Schizosaccharomyces pombe: one gene and its partners. Changing the gene in region 2 together with the main gene of any one other region gives a genetic interaction. Each region holds a gene or a part of one and is shown on either strand. Other genes may lie near its edges.

What was found.
Region 1: mutations in fsv1 (region 2) and dim1 together harm fitness more than expected from each alone (negative genetic interaction), as found in Schizosaccharomyces pombe (one large-scale study listed by BioGRID).
Region 3: mutations in fsv1 (region 2) and aut12 together harm fitness more than expected from each alone (negative genetic interaction), as found in Schizosaccharomyces pombe (one large-scale study listed by BioGRID).

What each region holds. Positions count from the first base shown.
Region 1 is NC_003421.2:877,145-880,636, forward strand, and holds dim1 (U4/U6 x U5 tri-snRNP complex subunit Dim1), read right to left. Parts: upstream 1,528-3,492; 5' UTR 1,491-1,527; coding exon 1,456-1,490; intron 1,445-1,455; exon of another isoform or gene 1,406-1,444; coding exon 1,380-1,405; exon of another isoform or gene 1,299-1,379; coding exon 1,258-1,298; exon of another isoform or gene 1,175-1,257; coding exon 1,064-1,174; exon of another isoform or gene 1,011-1,063; coding exon 795-1,010; 3' UTR 660-794; downstream 1-659. Other genes in the region: sorting nexin Snx12, read left to right, coding at 1-496; gpi10 (pig-B family GPI synthesis protein), read right to left, coding at 2,503-3,492. UniProt on the Schizosaccharomyces pombe protein: Plays a fundamental role as a protein essential for entry into mitosis (G2/M progression) as well as for chromosome segregation during mitosis. May play a role in mitotic spindle formation and/or function.
Region 2 is NC_003424.3:1,312,628-1,316,386, reverse strand, and holds fsv1 (SNARE Stx8), read left to right. Parts: upstream 1-1,906; 5' UTR 1,907-1,922; coding exon 1,923-2,666; 3' UTR 2,667-3,151; downstream 3,152-3,759. Other genes in the region: tvp15 (COPI-coated vesicle-associated protein), read right to left, coding at 1-288; DNA-binding transcription factor, glucose starvation sensing, Rst2, read right to left, coding at 3,704-3,759. UniProt on the Schizosaccharomyces pombe protein: Involved in vesicle-mediated protein transport between the Golgi and the vacuole.
Region 3 is NC_003424.3:641,690-645,448, reverse strand, and holds aut12 (autophagy associated protein Aut12), read left to right. Parts: upstream 1-1,910; 5' UTR 1,911-1,936; coding exon 1,937-3,231; intron 3,232-3,317; coding exon 3,318-3,564; 3' UTR 3,565-3,604; downstream 3,605-3,759. Other genes in the region: chaperonin-containing T-complex beta subunit Cct2, read right to left, coding at 1-520, 568-699, 736-738.

The DNA of each region.
Region 1 (3,492 bases), on a different chromosome or scaffold from region 2:
CAACGTTAACACTAACTCGTCATTCTCAGGTCCCATCTCGGAATTTTTAGTCGAATTGTTTTCTCCAAATGACGATGCAAAGCAGCAATGGTTACCGAAAAAAACTTATATATCGATATTGGAACAACTTTTTGGCGGAGCTTTGGAAAAGCGTATACGACTACAACTGTTTCAGTTGTTTACGCCTGAGAAGATTTATAGGAAGTTACGCGAGTTTAGACGAGGACTTGAAGGTAAATCTAATCATGATCACTCCAAAGACCGCCGTCATTCACGGGCGCGAAAGCCAGCTTATGCTGATAGGAATCAATTGAAAGCAGAAGCAGGGATTTTGCTTGCTTCCATGTTTCCCGGCTATACACCTGATATTGCTGTGAAAAGAATATTTCGTATTCTCCAAAACCAATCTCTAAACGCTCATGTTATATACACCCTTCTTGACGAGATTTTGCTGGCTTTAAAGAAACACGCTAGATCAACTAATAAGGCAACTTGAGTGTCACTTTTTTACCTCTCTTGTTAAATCATAGCAAGAGTAATCATGTTCATGCTTTTCTTTAATCATATAATGTAATTTCTTCATAGGATTTGATAATACTTTATTACAATTCATCCACTAGATAATTTCAAATCCTGTATTGTTACTGACTTTAAAAGAAGGGTTATACCATTTGAAGTACAAATTATGCGTAAAAATTAAAGCAAAAAGACTTTTTCATTTTAGCCAAAAACTATCAAATTACTATGATTTTTCTATCCCCTCTCCATTTTCTTGCATAAGCAAATGGTGGCTTCTAGTAGCGATGTCGGGTAGAGTAATCTTTTGGAGAAATAACAAGACCTTTACCTTTTCTAGCACCACGAAAAATAGTTTCTATAATATCGATCATCTCTTGTTTATCTTCTAACGGCCAGTTGATTTTGTTATTGTTACCAGTACCTAAGTCAATCATCATGTGTTTGTTTCGATAAAAAAACATTATTGTAGTTCTGTCATAAAGCTCGTACATCTAGATGGTAATAAGGTTAGCAACATGACTTTCCAACTAAGACTTAGACTTACCTTGTTGAAGTCAGGAACTTCGTCAATGTCCACTAAATATATGACAGCCATGTTGACGACCTTTTCAGCAATTCTGTATAGGACTTCATCTTGTTTTATACATTCTTCATCCTATTCCGTTACGCGTTAGTAAATTAATCCGCCTACAATATTAAATAGACTTAATCCAAGTAGATATCGACATTAGAACATACATGATCTCTACCAAATCGAATGACAACCAAGCGCTCTTGTTCTATTTATAAAAAAAAAGGTTAATAAGCTGATTCGAAGTTGTGAAACGAGAAACATTCTACGTTTCTTAAAGTTCGCGTACCTGATAAAATTGCTTGATCAACGTGCCTATAAACATAAGTTAGAGAAGAATAAATCCATCTATCACAAAAACTTACCATCCAGAATGTAAATGAGGTAAAAAATAACTCATTATATCAACTGAAGCTGCTGAATTGCAATATTTTGGTAATTTCTAGCAGACGAGAATAGTGTAGATATGTAAGTCACACAATATACACTTTGCGCGTTAGGATGTAGCAATGCTTTAACTCTACGTAAAAAAGCGTATAATAGTGTAAATGCTATTCAGTAAATAAATTTAGTGAAGTTATGAGATTCTTGACACAAGTGGGATTGCTATTACTTTCGTACATTACATGCTTAGTTGAATCGTTGATGTGTTTACTACAATTATATATATTCATACTTCATCTAATAAAACAATGAAATTCAGAATTTTTTACAATTCTAGAAACCGACCGTTTAAGCAGTTTACTGTGTTTAAAAATTAAAGTATCCGTAATATTCCAAATATTTTGTGAAATACTATTATAAAAAATTTAATTTAGAATCGTAGCTAGGCCGTATAAAATTATTTTTTCAAGTCCCAATCGCAACATAGACGAATGACCTTTGCGTTTTTCTCGACTCCATAGCATAAAATTACAATTGCAAATTCTTTAAGTGACTTGGGTGTTCGCGTTGTAAGCTAACTTTTCTTTTTCAGATTTGTTTGGAGAGTGCAGGATATGCTATAAATTTGTATTTAAGAAAATTTCTGAAAGGTTAAAGTCGCCAAAGGTTGAAAATTTTAAAATGATGTTGATTCATGATAATGGCTTCGGGGAAGATAAGTGTTCCACCCATGTCTTAAGTTTTAATAGTAAATGGCTTAGGATTACTTTATTCGTCTACAAATTGTTGCTTCCTCTTGCTCTGTGAAGACTTGATATGGCCCCCTCTATAATCCACGAACCATAATAGAAATGCAAATCGTTTATAATGGGGAGCTAGAAATCAAGCTGGCGTTTTAGGGATAAACCAAATATTGTCCAAAGCAAGTAATAGTCATCAGTGGTTTCATTTAAAATACATCAATAGTTGTTAAAATGCAGATAATTATGCTGACCTGTGAAATTTTTGGGGTATGAAGAATCATGTAATTAGAGTTTCTTATACACTAACAGAGCTCCAGCTCTCTCTCGACTTTCAGGAATCAAGGAGTTATAATACCTCTGTACTTCTTCATACTTCAACCCTCGGGAGTCAAGATAGCTGTATAAGCTATAAAACCGCTCTTCAAAGAAAATCAGATAATCCGGCCATTCTTTAATTTTATCTAGAAAAGTAGGCATATTCTCGTAAAAACGATCCGTCTCATCAAAGGGCTTTTCGAACGGTTCACATGTCAAGAACTTCCATCCATTTTCAGCAAAAGGTGAATGGATATGCGACTGCCATGGTGTAGTGTGACACGGAGCAAGTATTAGACCAGTTTGGTTTTTTTCAGCAAGTGAATGTATTAATGGCATAACTTCCATGACTCCAAATTGATGAAATCGGCATAAAAATGTAATTACCAGAGCATGTCCCAATCCAATAAGGAAGAAAAACCGTGCTGCACGCTTCCAAGAGGAAAATGATGAAAAAAATTTTCCAGCTAAAGTAAGTAAAATCGGTGAAATTGGGTATACAAACCGAAGTTCTTTATGTCCTATCAGTGAATAGGGAAAGAAAACACAAAGAATGGTTCCCGCTGTTTGAAGGTCCATTGTGAGTAATACGAATGGAAGAAATCCTCCGCATATTAATGGGAGGGCTTGAGAAAGGTAATAGTGCCATGCGTTCAATCCATACAAAGAGGAAAGGCCTGAAGTAACATTAAATTGAAAGAACGAAATGATGGGAAAGACAAAACGACCGTAAAGTATTCTATCAGCAATAATATTAACTAAAAATAAAGACACACACAAAACGAATATGCCAAAAAGCCGCCCATAACCGAGAGCATATAAAAAACGAAAGCGATTAAAAACATTGGAAAACGAGAGTAAATCCTTTATGGGTGTTTGAGGATTTTTGTTCCAGAATAAAAGTGGGAATATCCAGACTAGTATATTTGTAGGTCGGATGAAACAAGCAAAGGCTGCGAC
Region 2 (3,759 bases):
AACTAAAAAGCCTAGGAAAGAAGTAAACCCGGAGTAAGAAAAGAGTAAAGTACCCATGAAAGCGTAGAAGAAGCCCCTTCCTAAGAATGAGAACATGAACGATCCATATTTAATAGCAATAGGAGGAATTTCCTTTTCTAAACCAATAGTTCCCAAACCGAAAACGATGATGAACAATGCAAGTAAAGCGTTTACGAAGCTAAATGAAAATAACTTGATAAATCCGCTTAAAACGAAGATACCACCTACGCCCAAATTAATGGCACTAAACATTTTTGTTTTATCCATTGTGAATTAAGTGTATGCAACCAATATTAAATTTTTCAAGCAATATGTATTTTAGTCGATGTTTGCTTAAAGACAAAGAGAAATGCAAGTTACTAAGCCTGCCTATGCTTACCGATGCGGTCATGCATATTTACGAACTATTGAAATACGGTAAATAAAAATAACGAATTCCATAATTCTCAACCAACTTTTTGTTGTTTACAGAAAATGAATAATTCAATTCATCGAAAATGCATTTTGTTTTCTATAGCATTCTTTGTACTGTTTTTGAAGTTAAAAACACTATCATTTAGTAAATAATGTACTTTCGACCCGGCTTTTTTTTGAGACAACTGTTGTTGACAATTTTAAGGTCTGTGGGTCAATTTATATATTTGTCAAACGTTCGTAAACAAATGTATTTGTATCTTAGTTTCATACGAGCTCCTTTAGCTATATGTGATCTACTCTCACTCGGGATCTACAGGGCTGTAAAATTTTTTGCACTCAAGTTTCACGCGATTATTATCAGATGCACCTGAATAAAAAAGAATAAAGTAAAATAAAAAGCCGAATGTTTTATAACGTAGTAAAATTCCTTCTTATTTTGATCGCTTTGCCATTCATTTGATTATGTTTATAATGATAATTTCACGTGCAATGTCAACTTTGATAGACGGCTACATCTATTTCTAATTCGTAACGCTATAAAAAAAAACTCCATTTTAAACTGAGAATAAAGCAAGAAGTCGATTAGCCGAATATAGATATCAGCATGATTCGTTTTAAACGGCCCAAAGCCTTGTATATATTTGAGTAATTTTCTACTGTACTTAATTGTCTGTAATTAAACAACTATTTGTTACTCCTACCTTGTTACACTTGGATTTAATACTCTGGAATTAGTGTACTAACTCCTAAATAAATATTTAAGTAGTATTTTTCTTTAAGATATTTCTTTAATAAACATTCTCTTCTAATGAAAAGAAAAGCGTCATTATTGGTATTTTAGTTTTCAGAGCAAAGAGGTACTTAACATTTATTATGTCGCAATTATTTTATATATATATTATATTAATATTTTGTAATGAGAAACCTAGGCCTAATAGTGTAGTGGTTAACATACCTCTTTCGGGTAATCCCCACTTGTATGCTGAGTTTAGAGGTGATCCCTGGTTCGAATCCTGGTTAGGCCCCTTTTTATACTGGGCTTGCTGTATAAATTTATCTGATTAATTTTGAAACTACGCAAACCAACTTTCAATAATTAAAAAGTTTTCCTTACACCTTGCTTGATTACCTTTTAATAGATGTGAAATAAGAACTACTAAATTTGTGATAAATACCGAAAACAATCAGAAGAGTCGAAAAGAAGCATTCAAAAAATTGTGTAAATAACGAGTAGGTTTCTAATAATACGATAATTTCACAGGATGCCTATAATGGATCTGGCAGCTAATGAGCAAATCATTTTTACTTTTTTTTTTATTTAAAACATACGAAAAGATTCTCTTTTTTTGCTGCAAACAAAATTTACTGTAATTGAACCTAGAATTGGTAGCAAAGGCATTACACCGTATTACTGTAAACTTCACTAATGTTTGTGTTTTTAGGCGCATGATGAACATGATTACTCAAGAAAGTAACCAGCGACTATGTCAAATTTGCTTCTGATCATTGACTCGGTTTCACAAAAAATAAGAGACAGGAGGAAGTTGGAAGAGTTTGGACAGAATCCCGATGAAGAAATTGAGTCTTCATTGAAAGATGTTCGGCAAGAATTGCAAAAACTTAATGAGGAGCAATCGCGATTAGAGAAAAATGCACAAATCCCAGAGTACAGAGTACGAGAATCCGAAGCATTTCTTATTAGAATGCAAAGGAGGTTAGAGTCTGCTGAGGAAGAGTTTGAGAAGCAGCGGCGTGCATCCTCAATTCCTGCTGACGGAACAAGTGCCTTTTCTGCAAACCCGCAAGTTGCAAGTACGAATAATAAGTTAACTCCCCTTCCTTCTTTACAAAAAACGACTTCGAGTAGTGAGGGATCTGATATTGAGATGGAGGCCATGTATCCGGTTGATGGCAATGACCCTGATCCCATAAACGTAAACGTTTTGGCTCAAATGCATCAGCAAATGCTCAACGAACAAGAAGAATCTTTAGGAGGGATCGAAGCAAGTGTCCAAAGGCAAAAGCGGATGGGATATGCAATGAATACAGAATTGTCCGAACAAAATGTTTTACTAGATAATATGAATAATGATGCTGATCGAATTGAGAGGAGGTTTGATCATGCAAAAAATCGATTAAACAAGGTCAGCCGAAAGGCTAAACAGTATCCCAGATGCTTTATTATTTTGCTCCTTTGTGCGTTGTTATTACTTGTGGCTTCCATTTAGGGTGCAAATAAATATCACTTAGCAATTGTACTTGCTGTAACTCTGTTACACTTTCACTTAATTCTTTTATTTCACGTCCTCTTTGAACTAGGCTATATAGTTCTTTTATTTATATTTAATAACCGTGATATTTACGAACTTTTTTTTTACGATTTTGAAAATGTTTTTGTGATCTTCAACTTCTTTTGCTAAACGAACCTTCCCTTTATAGGGAATACAGAAATTAACTTTTTCGTACATTCCAGTTTCTAACCATTGACTGTCTTTCTACTTTAGTAATTATTTTTCTGCTAGCGCATTTCTTATCGAAATCATTTTTGTGTTCTTTTAAGGGCCGTCCCCCTTGTTCACAAAGCTAGTTTTGACGACTTAAATCAAGTGAATATAGTGCATGCAGAGTGAATGCTTAATAACCATTTGTTACAAACTTTGTTTCGCTAATAACTCCTTATTTGACATTTGAATAAATAACCTATTAGACTTTCAAAATTTTTAGATTCAGGGCAGTAAACAATAAACAACAATATCTTCAATTAGCTGTATCAATTTATTTTCAGAAGTTTTGCTATATTATTCCTTCATCTCATTAAAAAATATTCTCTTCTATTATTAAACATACGTAGTCATGTTATCATTATCATTATTAAGGAAAAGTTTGAACGAGTAGATTCTTTCTTGAGAATTAAGGGAACATGTGCTTGAATGCCATTTTTTTCATCTTAAATATAAAGCCTCCGTTGCTATTGTTAACCATATCACGCTGAACCTTTTTTGATAATAAAATATCAGAAGCAACCCTCTTAACTAATGTGTTGTGAACCTCTCAGCATTGCATATCTTAGCGTAATTAAATATTCGGTAAAAGAGGATCGTTTTCCTATCAACAATTGAACCCCAAATCAAAATATTCAAAACTTCAGATCAATCCTTAAATTAATTAAAAACCGAATCAAAGCTAGTTGATTTTTGTTTAAAAAAACTAAAAGATGCATTTCATTAAGAAACAAATAGTATAAAATATAAAGATATGAAAAAAATTAAAATGAGGGCGGTTGATTCCGATTATTATCTGTAAGCAAACCGGAAGTTTCGG
Region 3 (3,759 bases), 670 kb from region 2:
TTTTATTGAGAATAAATCCCTCATCAAGGAAGGAGTCATCAAGTTTACCACCAAGGATCTTAATAATTTGAATGTTATCCAAGTTCGTGCTACCTTTCAAGCGAAGCACTGCATCAACAGCCAGCTGAGCAAAATGGTTTTTATTCTGAGATAAGATTTTGGAAGACAGAGTAGTTCTGGCAATATTCTCGAGGTCACTACGAAATTTAGCAGGATCACTAGAATTATCAATAGAGGAAGCACGAAGAGCATCGATAGCAGTTTTAGTAGCAATACGATAACCATCGATAATCACTTGAGGATGTATTTTTGCATTGACCATAATTTCTGCTTGACGAAGAAGTTCAGCAGCGAAGACACACACACTGGTAGTACCGTCGCCAACTTCATCATCTTGGACTTTTGAGATATTCACTAAAACTTTAGCAGCTGCATTATCCAAAGCTATAGACTTAAGAATGGTAGCACCGTCATTTGTCACAACAATATCACCCGAAGAGTTTGATTGTAAAATTTTGTCCTATAAATCGTTAATTAAAAATTTTTTCTATGTAGATTTGACCTTACCATTCCCTTAGGACCTAAAGTGCTTTTTACCAAATCGCCCACAGCAATTGCACCCACAAACGATGAAAGACGGGCATTTTCACCCCGCTCTTGGATGCCACTTTCGTTAAAAATCTGATGAGGATTTAAAGACTATATCGTTAGTACGGTTTTTACACATGATATTACCATTTCCAGATAGTGTACGATAAACCCAGAGTTGCGGTGGTTGAGTGGAAAGTAGCTTACAGCGAACAAGAAGCTCGTCGCAACAACGTAAGCCGTAGCTTACCAGGCATGTACCAGCGACTGTATATTTCTAGTTTTGGATCGTAAATAATATTATAATCAAATATTTTTATAATATATATATTTCATTCTCTTACGTTCATATTCATGCAAAAGAAAATAATGAGACAGCTTTTAAGCATTGCTATATAAAACACTATTCTATTACTCTCAAATATAAAATATCAAAAAATTAAAAGATTTCCTATATCTATTCAAGTCTCTATGAAGTTAATACCGACTACTGAGCATGTTCAACAAACTAGATGATGGTTGGCTTAATCGAGTGTTTTATTATTGCTCAAAATGAAATATGAAGCGTCGATTAAAGATTTCAACTGATTTTTTATTTTCGATTCCCTGTATGACTTGTGTTTTCTTACAAGTACTAGACTAATGTTTTTGTTTTGGAGCAATATAGATATTGAAAGAACCAATGCGCAAATCTCAATTCTATTCAATATTAGATGGAACCATCTCGAAAAGTTAGCCAACAAGTTTCTAGATCTTTAAATGTGAATACCATCCTTAGACCTTGAGAAGTCAAGGATAAGCAGCATTTTAGTTGAAACGATAGATCAGTGATCACTCCTAAATAACTCAATATAAACAGTTTGTAGTAATACATCTAGCGCTATATTCTAAGCGCTTTTTAACATTAATTTCTTAACCAAAGAGTATTCTTAGTTTAGAGCGCGTACATTTCATAGAACGTGTAATTATTAGTTTTATTTTAAATTCAGTACTGTTCTCTGTATACAATTGACTTCCATGTAAACGTATCTTGAATGCCATTTAGTTGTAATATGAAATTCTTTGCCGAAGACTCAGCCATTCCAATCTTCCCTTTTGAATTACCTATACAACTAGGTACGAAATCATCTTCGGCACAATATCTTTATGATTGCACCGCAAAGTTGAGTTTCAACATTTATTTAAAGAATCAATAATTATTTTTTATTCAATAAAAAGCAAAATATTTAAAACGCCTTCTTTTCCCTTAATTTTAACCGTAAATGAGTGAATGAAGCGAGGTTAGCATTATTACAACAGCTACAGTCCTCCTTATTCAATCCATCCCACTAATGAAAACAGCCAGTTGATGGAACCAACATCTGAGCATTCATCAATCAAGGAGGAAGTGGAAAATGATAACGTTCATAGATCTCATGAGTCGGAATGTGGATCACTGCTGTTAAACCCTGGTAATGTTCTAATGGCAGCGCCTTCGGTGTCAGAGGATGATCAAGAAGTAAGCAGGTCTACACCAGAATTGCGAAGCCACGTGGAAAACGTTGAACAATTACTTTCTGATATATTGCATGATAATTCCTCTCCGCTTAATGTAAGCACTTCAGTATCGAGCAGTAGTAACAATACGGCTGTTGATGAAATTATAAAACTACTTTCGTTGATATCTTTTGATTTGGCAAAACAAAAGCGCACATATTTGATATTCTCTTCATCAGGGAAGCCCGTGTTTAGTAACATTGTTGATGATTCAATTGAGCCATCAACCGTTGGCGCGTTACAAGCAATTATTAGCTCTTTCGAAGTGTCGAAAGAAGAGCTAACAAGCTTTTCTACCTTTTCCAATGTTATCGTTGTTCTCTCCAAAAATCCTCTTTATCTTGTTGGCGTATCGCCATCGACAACTTTAAGCGCAGCATATTTACTCAGTGAGTTAAACCTCTTATATTGCCAAATACTTACTGGGGTTACTGCGAAAGCTATGCAGCTGACCTTAAACTCCCGCCCAAATTTTGATTTGAGAAGACTTATTGGAAGCAACGAGCAGTTCCTAAAAGAACTATGTGATCAACTTAATGATTATGAATTAGTCCCCACATTGAATGCCATATCTCCTCTTCCTTTACGTTCCTCTTTTCGTGATCAGCTGTCGCAACTGCTGTTGAGAGAAACACCCAAATCTCTGCTGTTTACTTTTATAGCTATACGAGGTCGGCTTGTTTGTATGGTTAAGGCGAAGAAGCTTTTATTACATGCTAATGATCTCTATTTACTTTTCCTATCACTCTTCCGCACACAGTCTTTTAATGATTCAATGGAGCATTGGGTGCCTGTTTGTTTTCCTACTCTAAATCCAGATGCTTATATTTACATTTATAGCTATTTCCTATGTAAGGACACTGTCTTGATAATGGGGAGCAGCGAAAGTGGTGTCTTTTTTGAAATGCAATCAGTGAAATGCAAAGTTGCTCAGGAAATTCAGGATCATGGATGGTTGAAAAAGCTCATTTATTGTGAAGAAATGGATAGAACTACGCCAAGGAATCCCGGATCTCCTTGTATTTCACATTACTTGTTTTATTCAAAGAAATACTCACAGTTTTATACTCCTGGCTATTCATTTTCAACTCCCAATTTCAATACTAGGTACGTATACAATGATCTATTTTTCTTTACAATTTCAATACGATCGCTATCTTTGGGCTCATTTGCTTTGCTAACTATGTTTTTAGAACTCTTTATGCTATTTATGCTAGCTTACACGACCAGGCATTTCACAAAAAAAATTCTTTCTCAATTAATATGACTGTCCATGAATCTTTGCTTCTATTCACGTGGTCAACTGCATCGTTCGACTTTCATTGTATTGCTAACGCTACCACTAGCAGTCAACTGCTTATTGCAAATGTTAATAAGATTTTGAGATGGATACGAAGGGAGGAGAATCGATTATTTATACAAACAAACCTTTCGTTTTGATAATGAGCATGTAAAGTTTAATGAAATTCATTTCTTTTTATTTTTTATGATGTTTTGACAGTAAAATATTTAAAAGAGCGGTGATTGCTTCCAACAGCTTTATTAATTTTTCTTTTTCCTTTTTTTGTTTTAATTTATTAATATCAGCATCATTTTACTCACATAAATTTCCGACTGTATGAACTTAATATCATA